2 linked regions of the Styela clava genome follow. The protein of the gene in region 2 purifies or fractionates together with the protein of the main gene of each other region. This does not show direct contact. Links are inferred from orthologs where the notes say so. Each region holds a gene or a part of one and is shown on either strand. Other genes may lie near its edges.

The links.
Region 1: the proteins of RILP-like protein 1 (region 2) and ras-related protein Rab-10-like purify together in Homo sapiens (co-immunoprecipitation; 3 studies listed by BioGRID and IntAct, with this or other methods). This does not show direct contact. The link is inferred for Styela clava from reciprocal best matches to the Homo sapiens genes RILPL1 and RAB10.

The regions. Positions count from the first base shown.
Region 1 is NC_135264.1:13,765,948-13,774,189, reverse strand, and holds the start of ras-related protein Rab-10-like, read right to left. Parts: upstream 3,280-8,242; 5' UTR 3,139-3,279; coding exon 3,012-3,138; intron 1,811-3,011; coding exon 1,750-1,810; intron 930-1,749; coding exon 791-929; intron 1-790. Other genes in the region: C-Jun-amino-terminal kinase-interacting protein 4-like, read right to left, coding at 6,996-8,242. UniProt on the Homo sapiens protein: The small GTPases Rab are key regulators of intracellular membrane trafficking, from the formation of transport vesicles to their fusion with membranes.
Region 2 is NC_135253.1:320,574-328,316, forward strand, and holds the start of RILP-like protein 1, read right to left. Parts: upstream 3,060-7,743; 5' UTR 2,993-3,059; coding exon 2,918-2,992; intron 2,517-2,917; coding exon 2,396-2,516; intron 2,200-2,395; coding exon 2,036-2,199; intron 1,680-2,035; coding exon 1,557-1,679; intron 1,390-1,556; coding exon 1,252-1,389; intron 838-1,251; coding exon 680-837; intron 1-679. Other genes in the region: inhibitor of apoptosis protein-like, read right to left, coding at 4,070-6,415. UniProt on the Homo sapiens protein: Plays a role in the regulation of cell shape and polarity. Plays a role in cellular protein transport, including protein transport away from primary cilia.

The sequences.
Region 1 (8,242 bases), on a different chromosome or scaffold from region 2:
TTGCGGATTTGGAAAATTTCACAACAATGTTATACTATGATAATATTCTCGTTCTAAGCACGGCCTAACCACAGAATGGTGATATAAATACTCTTTATTAGTACCTCATGCCTAGCAGAAAAAAACTTTCAACATTTTTTGAATTATATCTCTGAAGTTCGAAATTCTCTCTAAGTCTCTAATAGGTATAAAGCATAGATAAATCTTTCAATAATATAAATATTGTCCATATTGAATTTGTGAAATCGACATTTAACGCAGTATGATGAATGAATAAATAGACCATTCATCAATGATCAAAGAATACTCAATAAACAGGGTTGAAGATCTGGAATTTGACACGTTTGTATTAAATTTGAAGTCAATTCAAACTCCTTGAAAACGAGTAAATATGTTTTATTTATTCAGAATCATGATGATTACGGGACAAACCAGGATACTAATTAAATTCAAAAAGCATTGAGTTGCCAAAGCATTCTCAAACTCGACAGGCCATTAAAAAAAGGGACAGTTCTAGTTACCAAAATTTGGTTTTCTCAGACATTTGGGCGGGGTTGGAAACATGGTTTCCGCAACATGGTGCGGAAAGCCGGAGTCGGAATTTTTGTTAACCTAGAGTCAAGAGTAGGAGTCAAATTAAAAGTGGCAACAGGTTTGGAGTTGGGTGGATTTTTTCTGACCCCAAAGCCCCGATTCTAACTGTTATACAGCGATAAAATCAATGGAATATTAAACATTAGACTCTAGCCTACTACGCCTTGCGTATTTCTATAAATAAAAGAAAGCACACCTCCTCAATATTCCGTAACCATTTTGATATATTGTCAAAACTTTTCGGATTGGTAATATCGTAGACGAGCATGATTCCATTTGCCCCTCTGTAATATGAGGTGGTGATTGTATGGAATCTCTCTTGGCCAGCAGTATCCCTGAAATGAAATTTATACTTCAAACGCAAATAATTACATAACAAAAAGAAATGAAAAGCGTATTAGTAAGTATATAAATTCCAGACCATTTCCGAATACACTACACATTCAATATTTCATACCCGAAAAGAATATTTTAGGATGTATTCGGAATACTAATTAATTCGGTTTCGGTCATCCTTAAATTAGTGTGCATTAATTAAAATTTGATAAAATCTATCAACTTTATTCACATTGGTAACATATAATAGTAAATTGACAATGTCAAACTGTCGTCGCATTATACAATGTATCAATGATAAAAGTCATTGCCAAAATCGATGAATGGAAATGAGTCAATGTTGTGAGTCTTCTGATATATACAATGGAATTGGAATAGATAAGCCTACAATTCACAAACCATATTTTTCGAACCACAAGGCGCACAGTCAATAAATTGCTTAGATTGTTTTTCTATTCATATATAGGGCGCAACGTTTTTTAAGAAGTGAACCATACAAAGCTCAACAAACAACAGTACTGTTCTAATCCCCCTCAAAATATCCTGGCTGTGCCTCTGATTGAAGTTGCTATAGAATGCTCGTTATAATTGCTTTCAGTTCATTGCGTAAGATGATGGTTTGTGTATAAAAGAATAGTGCCGGTACTGATTTATCATGGATCGTAGAGTATGATAATTGCATGAAAAAACTTTATTAATACTTTAAATATAACTCGGTCCAGGTTGGTTGCATATGATTTTAGCAGTTAATGAACGATTTATCTGTGTTTTAAGCTTGATTCAGAATATGGAAATGTTTAATTATTCCCACTGACTCACCATATCTGCAGTTTAATCTTTTTACCATTTAATTCAACTGTCTTGATTTTGAAATCAATACCTAAAACAAAGAAAAATTATTTTAAAATTCTTTCATATACCGGTACCAATTTTTTTTTTTATCTTTCACACAACTTCAATCAGTATTACTCAATCAGTAATACCCTTCCAAGGAGTAAAGTTTGCTCTGTATTGGATGTAGTTATATTATTATTATTTAGTTTTTTATTATTACTATAATACTTATTCTTGAAAACATATTAATCTACTTAAACTGTACAAAAACGGGAGCTCGACTTGTGCATAACACTAGTAAAGAATCCATTAATAAAGATTTGACAAATAAAGTTGAGTTTTATGCATGGGGAGGGAGGAATGAAGATTTCAAAATAGGGAAAGGGAGAATTTAACAAAAAAGGTTGGGAACCACTGGTGTACAGTTTCTAGTAAGCTAAGATGACATTTCAGTTTTAGCAAGGAAACATCATCTACCGGTAATCATACGAGGATAATAGAACTTATAATGAATAATTTTATTATATAACAATTAGACAATACAACACAATATCTAAGCAAATTATCCCCCAATATGCAAAATTAGACTGTTACCCGCACAACTAAAAACAAGTGAGCAATGCTCAAATATAACGCAAGAAGGTCAAATGACCAATATGGGCAACGCAATGTCAGCAAAATCGTGACTTGTCATAACTTGCCAATAACTCTATACAGAATGTATGTAACAAAACCTTTTGCTTCCATCATTGATTTGGAATTTCTTCATACAATAACAATTGAAACTGATGGCAATTAAAAATAGGTTTTTCCGTAATTCGAGATATTCTACAACATATTTTTGTTAGGATATTGCCCAAACGATATCACTAATTTATATAACATTTATTTTACGATGTATATCTCATGATTTTACCATGTATCTTAACACAATGTGTGGTATTCGAAATTGGAAGAAATCACATTGGTCCATTCGGAGACCAGAATATTCATTTAAAAATCTATTTTTTACCATAATTTGAGTATTATGAAATATTTTCCATTTACATTTTATTTTATATTTATTTTACATTTCAACATACAATGATTTCGTTTCAAACTGGACTATTTTTATCCATGGCTCTATTGTAAAGAAAAAATCCATGAACTGAATGCTTTTGAAATAAGACAATCACAAGACTTAAAATCTTAAAGTGCAGCCGTGCTTGAAAGAGATTAAAAAGCAAAAAGGAATCTGGTGAACTCACCTATGGTTGAAATAAAAGTTGTGTTGAATGCGTCATCAGAAAATCGAAACAGGACGCAAGTCTTTCCGACCCCTGAATCACCAATAAGAAGTAACTTAAACAATAAATCATACGTCTTCTTGGCCATTTTATGGTCTTCGTGGATGAGTGTACAATAGCAGGTTATTGTACAATAAGTAATATCTTATTTGTTTATTTTCGTTACCGAACTGGATATGGTAATATATACCTTACTTTTACTATTGCAGTTAATCAGAATCTGTATTTTAGATGCAAATACAATAATATGAGGATAAAATATAGCACAAAAAAATGAAGACAAATATTTTACTTGTAAAGCATGCATAATGCTATTAACAAAAATAATATTTTTGACATAAAAAATTTTTTTTCTAGATTTTTAAACATAGTGGCAATCTGGATAGAAATAAAAATTTAGGTAGTGATTCCTTATTAGCGTTTGAAGCATTTGAATCAAAATCAAAATAAATAGTTCAGAATTAACATATTTCAACTAAATTACTGTATTTTCTGAAGATGTTCGGCTAAACTTTATTGGGTAAGTGTTCTTGCGATCTTCATATGGACATCCTCACGTATCTGATTTTGATAAAGGACAAACCAGAAATGTGTATTCGTAAACACATTTAAAAATATCAACAAAAACATTGACAATTTCCAGTTTTTCTCATACGTCATTATTAACTGTTGTCGTAAAATTACTTTTCTATATGCATATTTCTTTACTATAATTGAATATGGATTCTATCCTCTAATCACAAATGTAACATAATATTTTAATTTTAATGTGAACCAAAATTATGTGGTAAAAGAAATACAGGGGACAAAAAATACTTTGAATGCAGATTATGCATTATTGATGTGATTGTTCATTATTGAAAATAAAAATTTCAGTTTGCCATCAATTGTATCAAATATATAGATAAGGATGAAACTTTAACCAAATTTGGAAACTTTTCAATTAAATCGAATCACTATATTCCAGTAAAAAAAACTAGAACATCATATGGCATTAATAAGAATAGACATGAAATTGAATGGCTTCGTACAATATTTGGGGATTTTACAAAATTCAAAATTTATCAAGCGGATAGATGAATTCAAAGCATTTCAAAATCCATAAAATATCAAAAATTCATGAAAAAAGGTTATGAAATCAATGAGCTATTAATACTAACTTGAAAGATTTGAGTAATTCACCAAAATTCTACAACATGAAACAAGTAAAGCACAAACTTCATGAGACAATAATCATGAGCTCAATTCATATTATTGATTTTTGTCAAAACAACAAAACATAATTCTTGCTGCTCATTTCACAACAATGGCATCCTTTTTCACAAAAAAAGTTTTTCAAACTGCAGCAGGCGTTTCTTGAGCAACATTGAGTCACACAAACTATCATTGGCTAAGTATGGCCAATAAAGGGAGATGAATAAAAAATTATTCAAGATTGGTCATGAATAAACATCCTTACGATCATCGATTCTTTGATTTACTTTGGCTCAGAAAAAAAGAATGATAGTTTAAAATTCTAGAACTCTTTTTATGCAAAGATTTCAATTTTCAAATGTTCATGAACACTATAGTATAGTATGTATGCTGAAGTTAGCATTAATAATCATTTCTTAACAAAACAATTAAAAATTGAAAAAAAATAGTATTGGCATAAATCATAATTTCTTGACAAAACGACCAAAAATTGAAAAAAAGAGTAATTCTGATAAATTTATTTTTAAATGTTGTCTATGCCTTATTTAGATTGTTATAATTCTTCATTTCCCACGAATATACTGACAATCCTATAATTAAAAATTTATAAACAGTAAACAACAACAACATCCATCTTGAAGCAGAACAACAATTATAGTAAGGATGATGGAACTATAGAACACAGTATCAATAATGAAAGAAAATTGATTAATTATCAATGTGTTTGTAACATATCAAGTAAAATGACACAGTAACAGGACGGCAAAACAAAACAGTATATCATAAATGAAAAGGAAACACTAGACCCGGGATGTCCCAAACAAATCTTCAAACTAGGCCTCCTGCACCCCATGGGTTGCAAATAGGCTAAATGGGGGTCACAGTAAAACCTTTTCCGACCAACTTTTTTCAAGACAAACGATCAAATTTATAAGATTTGAAACCAGTACTGAGAGCCACCATCATCAAAATAAAGCCAAGATGCATCCTATTGTTCCGTATCTGACGCAAAAATTTGGATTTTCATTATCAGGATCATTTAAAAATATAAACAAACTTTTCTATTGAGTGGCATTTCCATGTCAATCTAAATAATTATACTTGCAGTTGCACTGGCCAAAGATGACCTGTGTCTTCAGAGATTATACATAAATAAAGACAGATTAGGGATTGCACATAGCACAATAACAACATTATTATACAAAGAAAAGCACCAGCAATGTGTAAATATTCATAATCTTCAACAGAAGATTGATAATTAAGCAATAAAATTCTGTACCTACAACAGCACCATATATAGCATATTCATATTGACTATGCTAAAATATCAAAATGAAATTGAAAAATGTTTGTTGATGTTGTATGCCATATCTAATAAACAGTATGTAGAAAGAACATTTCTTACACTGATTTGGTAACACTCACGAAATGGTAAAAATCTGGAATTTCAAATGGTGGTATCTGCTATTACTATTCAGCTTTAACAGTTAAATAAGTCTTAGTGAAATGGCCGAAGCAAGGCTTCTACTGAAATACAGATAACAATGAAGCATTTACGCAAATGAAATAAGGCATACAACTTATAATATTCGAATTTTCCTACCCTCAGGATAATTTTTATGTGCACAAAATAACCTTAACAAAACCCCTACAAAAAATTGTACAATCGTTTGCATGATTTAAATGAAAAAATTTAAACTAATAAAGAAGCATAGTCAGTTTCCATAATTCGAAAGAAAAACCTGCGGTACTAATATAAAGAATTTTCTTTACCATTCTATGACAACATTTTCAACAAAATTGACAAAATTTCAAAGCAAATATACTTCAAAGTAAATACACAGTGACATGAAGATATAATTTGATCGGCAACATTTGACTGTTAATTAATAACAATTATTTTTACGATGATATAAACACTATTAATAAATCTCAGGATAAAGATCAATATAAAAAGGAACATAGTTCATAACATGTTCATCCAATTTCTTTATCGATTACCTATATAGCAAGATTAACACACCTTTACAATATTAATAATATACACGGATTTGAACATGAAGCAAGGTTACGCAATATGCAATAATACATACTATATAAGCCCAATTGTTCTTGAAAATTCCAGAGATTGCAAGAACGGGCAATAAGAAGGAAGTACAATATTAATAATATAATAAACCTTTAGACGGCAATATCCTAGAACACTTCGAAATCTGGCACGACTTGTCTTTTAAAAAGTTTTCGATTTCAAATGTCAAGTTGGTATTATTGTACGACATAAGCATACAAAAACAGCAGTGAAAATATGTATTTCAACATAGTTAAAATAATGAGTATAGCTTAGGTCGTACTTTGCTCACAGATCTCACATTAAGTTGTCTTGTATGTTGCCTCTTCAGGTATTCAATATCTAGAATAAAAAGTGAAAGACACTGGAACCCGTCCCTATAATGAGTGTATTAATAAGGACATTATTTATGTACCAGTCCATTCCGCTTTCCAGGTAATTTATAGACACCAGAAATGGATTTTAAATACTTACATATTCCAGAGAGATCATAACTTGTGTGCAGAGTGTCCTAGATTACTAATACTGAAACTAAAGTTCTAAGAAAACCATTCGAAAATATTTCTGGAAAAATGTGTCATAGTCCATTTGAAAAGATATTCCATACATTTTGAAATCAATGTTTAAGAACCGAAATTAAAGTTTTTGTGAAATTGAAAATTATGCTATCTTGCCATATTCTGCTACTTTCCCATATTTGATTGTGCTGTTGTGAACGAGTCCGATAAACTATGTCGCATTTTTGCGTCTTCCGCTACGGACGACGACGATGATTTCTTCATACGTTGCCTTGAAGGTGAAACATTTGCTGAAGACGTTGTGGATGTACTGGGACCAAACAGACGACTAAAAAAGCGTGAAATCGAAGACCCACTTTTTTCCTTTGAAGGGGGCGGCATCCATTCGGCTGGGTGATCACGAGATGCCCGTAACATTTCCGTCCACCTAACGGCTTCTTGTAATTCCATTAATCTTTCTTTGTATTGATTTCGTTCCATCAAAACTCTCGACATTTCAACTCTTGTGAAACGTTTCCGTTGCGCAGAGGTGAGATCATCTTCACCAATGGGTGTAACAGGGGTTTGGCCTGAGGGTGAATTTCCCGCTTCCTTGTTTATTTTTTCAAGTCGTTTCACCTCTGTTTGTAATTCAGAAACTTGTCTTGAGAGAATTTCTTTCGACTGGTGAGCCCTTTCTAGATCTTCTTGAATCATTGTTAATTGATTAGTAAGTTGATCTACTTGATGAATCAAATCATCTTTAACAATATCAAGTGCATTTTTTGTCGCCATAAGTTTAGTATTTTCAAGCATTAAGTTTTCTAACTCTTTCCCCATTCCTAATATATCTGCACCGTCATCAACATCTCCTAGATCTTTATCACACATTTCTATATACAACGATTCGTGATTTGCTGTGACTCCGTGTTCGAAAGCTTCATTTTCAATTCCTATCTTTCCTAAACTTTGCTGATGTCTTGTTAAAGAAGAAGCATCTCCCTCTCCATGAAGAGGAGTAGACGCGTCCACATTTAACCCCATTTTAAGAACGCTTTGTTGGAACTCGTGGCTCAATAAGTTGCCAGAATCGAGACCGCTGCTGTTTGATTCCAGGCTTGTTCTATCGCTGTTTAAATCTTCTTTGACTATGGGTAAATTTTCAAGTTTTTCTTCTTTAGATAAAGCGTCTTCTTTATTTATTGTTTCAATTATTTCTTGCTTAATGTTAGGATGAAATGGATCAATACCCTCTTGCCATTCAAGCCGTCTTGTTCGTGCTGCCTCTATGGGTTCGCTATTTTCTTGAACAGGAGTTGAATCTAATTGTCTCGAAGACGGTGTTTCGGGTGACAACGGTGAAATCGTGGCAAAACTGTCTGGTAAATGCTTTTTAGGAATTGGGGAATAAGAAATAGAATCTGGAGTAAGGT
Region 2 (7,743 bases):
GGGAAGCCCTGGTCTATTTGATAGGCAATTAAAGAGACTGTACGTGGTTGAAGATGCTTCATTCAGATCAAATATTTCAATCTTTTAGCCCACCTAACTGTACACATTTTCATAAACATAATACCACCCACTAGTACACTCAAATAAAATCAATAAACAACACTTAACAAAAAGACCAATGCTTTAAATTTGGATATCACCAAGTTTGGAAGAGCCTAAAATAATACTGAGAAATCTTCTATCATTCAAATTTGCAAATACATGAATAGGATTTCCTCAGCATTTACATACAATATAAATAAGGATGTGATGAAAAATATCAATTATTGCCAAAAATCACTCACAAAAGTAGACTGAAGGACTGAATTTTGCCTAAACTTGCACAATTAATTTAATAACTTCTGTGCTGCTTACAAAACAAATGCTCTTCATTAAAAATCAGTCAGGACAGGCAACTTACCTATTCCCAGTGTGCTACTTTTGGCACGTATTGTATTGTATTAAAACAATGCAACCTATTGATTTTCATAAATAAAATAATTCATTCAATTCCATTCATTTTGAACTTAACTAACAACTTACAAAGGATCAAGATCCATAGCAAGAAAGTAACTCTAATTTTGGCGAAAAGATGACAAGTCAAGAAAATTTCATTTCTCGACTTGAATATAATAACTACCTCTTTCGTAATTCTTTGATTTGACGATCTTTTTCCTTACAAATAGTTTCCAAATCAGTATTTTGACTTGCCAGGATTGAAGCTTGTTGTTCCATTACTGCAACTTTGCGCCGCAAATTAACATTCAACTTTGATAGTTGTTGCGCTTGTGAAGATAACTAAATAAATGTGAGGTATTGTGATAAAACATTGACACATATGTACAATCAGGTAGACAAAAATGATTTTTATTCAATTTTCAAACTTTCGTGGTGATTGTAAAGCCTGATTAAAAATGTAGTAGAAAAGAAATATCAAGAAAAGATTTAAGTTTCACCTTTACCATTAAAAATTTTCAAATAGTGAGGTATTCACCAAATGCCAGATTATACAATAGTATTTTGTGCCAAAACAGAGGAAGGAGCATTAGAACTAGGTATGTTTGACATGAGACTTACCTTCAAGTGATTCATTTTATACAAAACATTGATATAAAAACTGCTGCTACATATTCCTCCAAAGCTGCAAATTTTTTTAAAATTTTATTCCTGGTGATGGTTTACAGTACATAAATTGCCTTGATCAATACTAACCGCTTCACATTCTGCACTTTGTTGTTTGATCTGCAGGTTTTTTTCGCGAATTTCATCTCTTTTTTTCTCAACCGACTCTTCAAGCATTGATAAAACAGAAACTTGTTGGTCACTGTTGTTTTGAGAATCCACAGGCGCCTGGAATAACATGTGAATCAATTACTTTAAACACATTAATATACAACATATTAATTAAGAATATTTTAAATCAGGATATACTACGTACTTATGTAGTAAATATTTTTAAAATTAGGAAAATTAACATTAATAAAGCCCACAGAAGATCACAATAAAACAAGCAGTACCGGTACTTCCAGTTTTTCAGTTAGAAGCTGCGTGAGTTTTTTGTTATCTTCTTGCAAAGTCTCAACAGATTGAAGCAACTGTCTTGTTTCTTCTCGCCAAGCAGTTTCTACCATATCCAAATCCTAACATGATAAATACATTAGAAATATTATATCTGAATTCAGAGCAAACTAAGAAAAATTATTTTTTTGGTTGGCACCAGCAGTCATGTTGAAATAATTCTAATTTGTTTTCTAACATTGCATTCAAATGTAAACTCTCTGAAAATTTAGCTGCTAATAAAGACTGGATTGGAGTTTTGAAAAATCTACAAAAAATGTGCCTTCTTCATGATGGTTATCAACTATCTTGCTGATTATTTATGGCTGATTAAAAACAGGCAGACCAGTAACCAAGAGGCAGGGACCATTATATTGATGTTAGTGGCATGATCATCAAAAGCCCATCATGATCATCAAATGTAACCATATTATATTACCTCTTTATATTTAGTAACATTTGTTTTTTCTTCAGCTTGTAATTTTTGAACTGATACCTGAAGTTCAACCACATCTGTGGAAATATTTTGAGATTTTGCTGCAAAAGCTTCCAACATTTCCAACACTCTGATCATTTTTGGCATTACGTCGGAAAATATAGCCCCTGTAGAAATGGAGAATGCTCAAATTGAAAACAGTGCCATGTAAACCTGTTATATTCAATACAATCTATATGGTGTGCTAATTATAATAAATATATAGGAACTAAATGATGAACAGTTTCCCAGAACTGATATTTTATACATAAAAAAATTTCATAATAACAAGTTGTTATGTTACCCCATAGGCATGATGCGTACCTCCAAAAGCATCCGTGAGTTTCTCAAATTCCCTTCCAACACTTGAAGCAATATTATAAACATCCGCAACTGTAAGAGTGTTGATGTCTTTTTGGAATATTTCAGCATCATTCACATTGATCTAAAAATTGAAATTAAGAGTCAATAGGCTATGTATACAGCCAGTAGGACCCAAACTTCAAGTATTGTTTCTTCCGTTTTTGATTATAACTTAATTCAAACCAGGTGTATAATATTGAACAAGAGCTTTGTCTGACACTTTGATAAAAACAACTTCCAGATTAAAAAAATACCAATTCCAGCTACCGAATTCATGATATCCAAATGTTGACAACAAAAAACTACCTACAAACTCTTTAGTTTCTGTTGAAAATTCATATTTAACTTCCTAGACTAAAGAGTTTAAAAATAAGACTTCAACTGTCCCAAATATAAAACCAATAAACACAAACTCTGAGACTCCGTAGTCATATTTTAGATTGAGATATTGTAGCAAGATTAATAATTTCTGCTGTCACTCACTGGTATTTCCATTCCATCATCACTTTCAAGATCAAGTTGTGAAGAAGATAATATTGTTTCATTGTTAGTTGCCATTTTTATGCCATTAAAATATAACTGCCATAAAATTTGAAACAACTATTTGAGCACTATATAATTATACTTATGTTACGTGAATGCACATCTGAAATATAATCAAGCCGATGTAACATGATATTAATTTTAAAAAAATGGAAAACAAAAATGAATTTATTTGTAACCAAGGCAATAAAGATATGAATAATAAAGAAAAGTCGTAGTGTTTTAGATAACACATGGGTTGAAATAACTATGGGTCAAAACAACACTGAAGCATTTAAAGAAATGGATAATCACCAGGCTTCTTATATTGGGATAACATATTGTAAAAAGCTAATATCTAAATATCATTATGCTCATATTTCATGAACAAAATAGGTTTAATTGATGCAATAAAAAAGTAATTGTGAAAGAAACTAATTCTATAAACATATTCTAACACAGAAATAACCCTTATAATGAGCATGTTTTTGACCCTGCATCACCTATATAAATGAAGACAATGAGAACAAAAATGTTATCTAAGATTAAAGGCAACAAATATTTAAACAAATTAAATTCATAGAAAAATCATTGATTAAACAGCATACAAATATTCAGATCATGATATTCAATAATCATACATAAGTTGGAACAATTATATCCATTATTGAGATACGTCAAAAAATCATTTCATTTAATTGAACTATCAAGGCATAAAAAAACAATGAACGACTCAACAAGAAAGTGTATGAACAGTTTAATGGCTTTGATAAATTTATAGCAATCACAAAATAGTTAATTATTATAATATATTTTGCCAATGGTGATTCATACATTGATAACCTTGATACTACATTCATATATTAATTAAGGCATATTAATTCACTTTACACATACATGTAATAAAGAGTGACATTTTAAACACCAATATTTTCAAAAAGTATCACATAACAAGATTATAATCTTTCTTTACTTGTCAAAATACATTTAACAGTTGGTGTAAGATATTAATTAGTTAACAAAAACTGCCTGGCCATGTTTCAAAACGTAAAAGGAGAACTATAAAGGAATGACAATTCCAAACATCTACTCTACTAATGTTATATTGTTTTTTTAAGAATGATAAGTTCTAATAAATCTGTTGATTGCTCTCCTACAAACTGGGCAGTTGTAAAGCCTTCTAGCACAAGTAGCACAAGAACATATATGACCACAAGGTTGAAACAGAATATCTGCTGGTAGTGTGAGACATATCTTACAAGTTCTCTCTCTCTCCAACTCTGCCAGTCTCTGAGTAGAATTGCCAGATGTGGAAGGTGATGTTGTTCTAGGAGCAGTGACAGTATTTGTTGTCGGTCGTCTTGTCATGCGACGCATTGGGGAGGATAAAGGAAGGTCCAATCCAAGAGCTGCTAAACCATTGCCAGAAGGAGGTGCTGGGTTTGACCCGGCACCTTCTTCAATTTGAATATTCCTTGGAGCATGAGATACATGATTCATATATTGATTTACAGGCATTCCATTTACCAATACACTGTTGTTGCTATTGGATGGACCAGCTTCGGAGAAAGCAGGACTATTATGTGAATGAGATGATGGTACAGAAATATTGGATCTTGCAGTAATATTTCCACCAACAATGTGAATGGTTTGGTCAGGTAAATTTAACACAGTGCCTTGTGGAGTAATCTGTACAGTAGAACAGCTAATTCCTTGAACTGAAGACCCACTACTTGTCTCTTGATCTGTTGCACCATTGCAATGCAGCAATGCATCAACTAACGATTCAGCTGTCTGAAAAATTGTTCCATTAATATTGATATTTGTCAATTGTGTTTCCCTAATTTGCTGTTCAGAAAATCCCATGCTACGTGCAATTTGAACAGCTTGTGATTGCATTGCTTGATGCAACAATCGCTGTTGAGGATTTTCACCTGAAAGCGATAAAGCAGAAGAATGTTGTGTAGTTGATACCTCAGATGAAGGTGACTGTGAACCATGTGAAGCATTTGGTAAAATATGTCTTTCTCTCACTGGAAGAATCGGTCTGGCAACATCAGGATTTTGAGCAGATATTTCATTGACCCAACCCGGTCCACGCTGCTGTAAAAGATATTCACACTGTGGGAAATACTTTGTATGTTCTACCCACGGATCATCTTCAGGCAAATAATCTTTCAATCCCCCATCACAGAACCAGCACTTTGTTCTGTCACCATCACCAACATAGTACATTCCTGCTTGAGCAAGCCTTTCATTCGATGCACGAAGTCTAGTTCTTCTACGAAATTCAGGATTCTCTAGTGTTCTGAGCCTCGCTCGTTCTTCTCTCATTGCCGGATTAGCTGGGTTAATACATGGAAACTCCAATAACAGATTTGTCCTCTCAATGGCCGCCAATGGTGGATTCAGATGCAATGCTGGTAGCTGGAGCAATTCTTGTCGTTCACATATAAATTCTGGAGATTGAGTAATATGAGTTTGAGTTGAATGTAACAATCTTCTTGATTGTGGTCCAATCGATGGATCGGATTCACGTACTTGTGGAGGAAGTGGGATAGCACCACAATCCTCACCTCTGATAAATCTACAATGAGGTGAAAGTTGTCTATGCCTGCTTTGTGGATTATCGTCCCTACTCCAGTTTGCGAGAATCAAACGACATGAAAAACATTCTACTGCATCATCTTGACCAAGACAGAAAAACCCGCATATAACAAGCAATCGAACATTCTTGAAAACGATATTTCTTGACCAAAACCTTTTGAAAGTTTCTAATCTGTGTTTTGCTATTTTCATATCATGAACTGCAAGAAAAGCAGTCAATTCGTTTGAATTGAGTGGCCTGGAATGTCTTGGCTCCCTTGAAGTTGAAGCCTGAGATAGAGAAATTTCACGAGAACAGGACGAGTTTGAATAACTTTGGTTTAATAATGGATTCATTTCAGTTGGAAACTCTACTTCCATCCTCTCCTCAATTGCAGGATTATTTGTAATCATGTATGGTAAACTTTTCACTTGTCTGTTCCATCGATGATCAATTGTATGCTCAGGATTTATTGGAATAAGCGAACAGGCCATTGGGTGACCTTCCTCAGACTTATATGATGGTGAAGAATGTTTAAATTTTTTCTGATTGCTACTACTACTACATGTTGCACCAATGGATTGATTTGTACACGGTGAGCCTTCATGTGCTGAGGTATTAGTATGAGTAGCATTTGATAGTCTTTGTGCAAATTTGCATCCTAATTCATGAAATCTCATATTGCAGGGCTGATCTGTCCTTGTCCATCCAGATATAGTTTTCTTACATCCAACACATACAGTACAATTTAGAGTTGTGTTGTAAGCAAACCCATGTTTCGCAAGTTTATTTTCATTGATGTTCAGTATAGAGGAACACTGAGAAAAAGTGTTTATACGATCTTCCAAATCAAAGTTGCTATCAATATCCATTTTATCATTTAATAATGTTAAACCATCACACTACTGGATTACTGATAAACAGAAAAAAGAAATCTTGATGATAATAAATCGTACTGTGGACTGTGGTACAGTACTTTTATGGTTCTGCTAAAAGTATCAGTATCCCAAGTTAAACTAACTTATCCCACAAGTAACATACTGACATAAGCCATTTCCACGAATATATCTAATTCTAGGGTTTACTTTAACAGAAAACATATGGCACACTATACAAATCGGGTGACATTGTCCCGTTTCAGAGAAACCCATTTTACAGATGATCAGACACACCTCCTTTGGGATACGTCTGTACATTGTTGTCCCTCAATATCGGTAATAATACAGTATAATGATGTTGCGCAAAATACTACAAAAAAGCGCAATCTAGTAATGTAATTGAATAGTAATTGAATTCCTTGAGAAAAAATAATCCTATTTACCAAAGGAAAAATAAAATTACCGTAGCATCCGAAAGTTTTTAGCTAATAACAGCAATTTTGGTCATGTGACAGCCTAATTTAAAATTTTTATGTTATTCTGTTATTGGATAATATCTTACAATGCATATTACAGTATCCGAGTATTAGAACAGAACAGGCTCCTTCTAACTGTCTAAAGTACCATCACAAAAAAACACAATTCTATTTCCATTCCTCATGTTGTTTACAATTTTATGGGTCTTACTACTTACTGAATACAGCGCAAAACACCGCAAAGAGCGCAGAACAGTGCAAAAGAGCGCGAAACAGCACAAAATAGCGCGAAACAGAAGGAAACCAGCGCAAAACAGAGGGAAACAGCGCAAAACAGGAGACGCAGTCATTACCACCTCCTGCCACGAAAGAACCACGGAGCCTCTCGCCATGGTTTTATGGCGCTATTTCCGGCATATTTACAAGGTTATGTACCGGATTATAGGTCATCATGCGAAATTTTATCTACCTTTTTGGTGCTCCAGAAGTATGTGCAGCAATATGTCGCACAACCTGAATCCGCTACACACACACACACATACTATTTTCAGGTTGTGCGCCATCTTGGTGCACATACTTCTGGAGGTCCTCTTTTACCTAACCCTAACCCTAAAGCCAACCATATCCATGTGGAAAATGTTCTGCCAGACTGCCGTCTGGGTCGGACGTGTTTTTGTTGCTCTGTTAGATGAAAGATCAATCAATGCTGTTGGACTGAGAATGCTACGCGCTGTGTGTTTCGGTATTTACTATTAGATTTGTATCTCGTGATATCAACATGATCAAGGCCCATCCACCGGAATTAAAGAAGTTTATGGATAAAAGATTGGATTTAAAGTTTGTGTT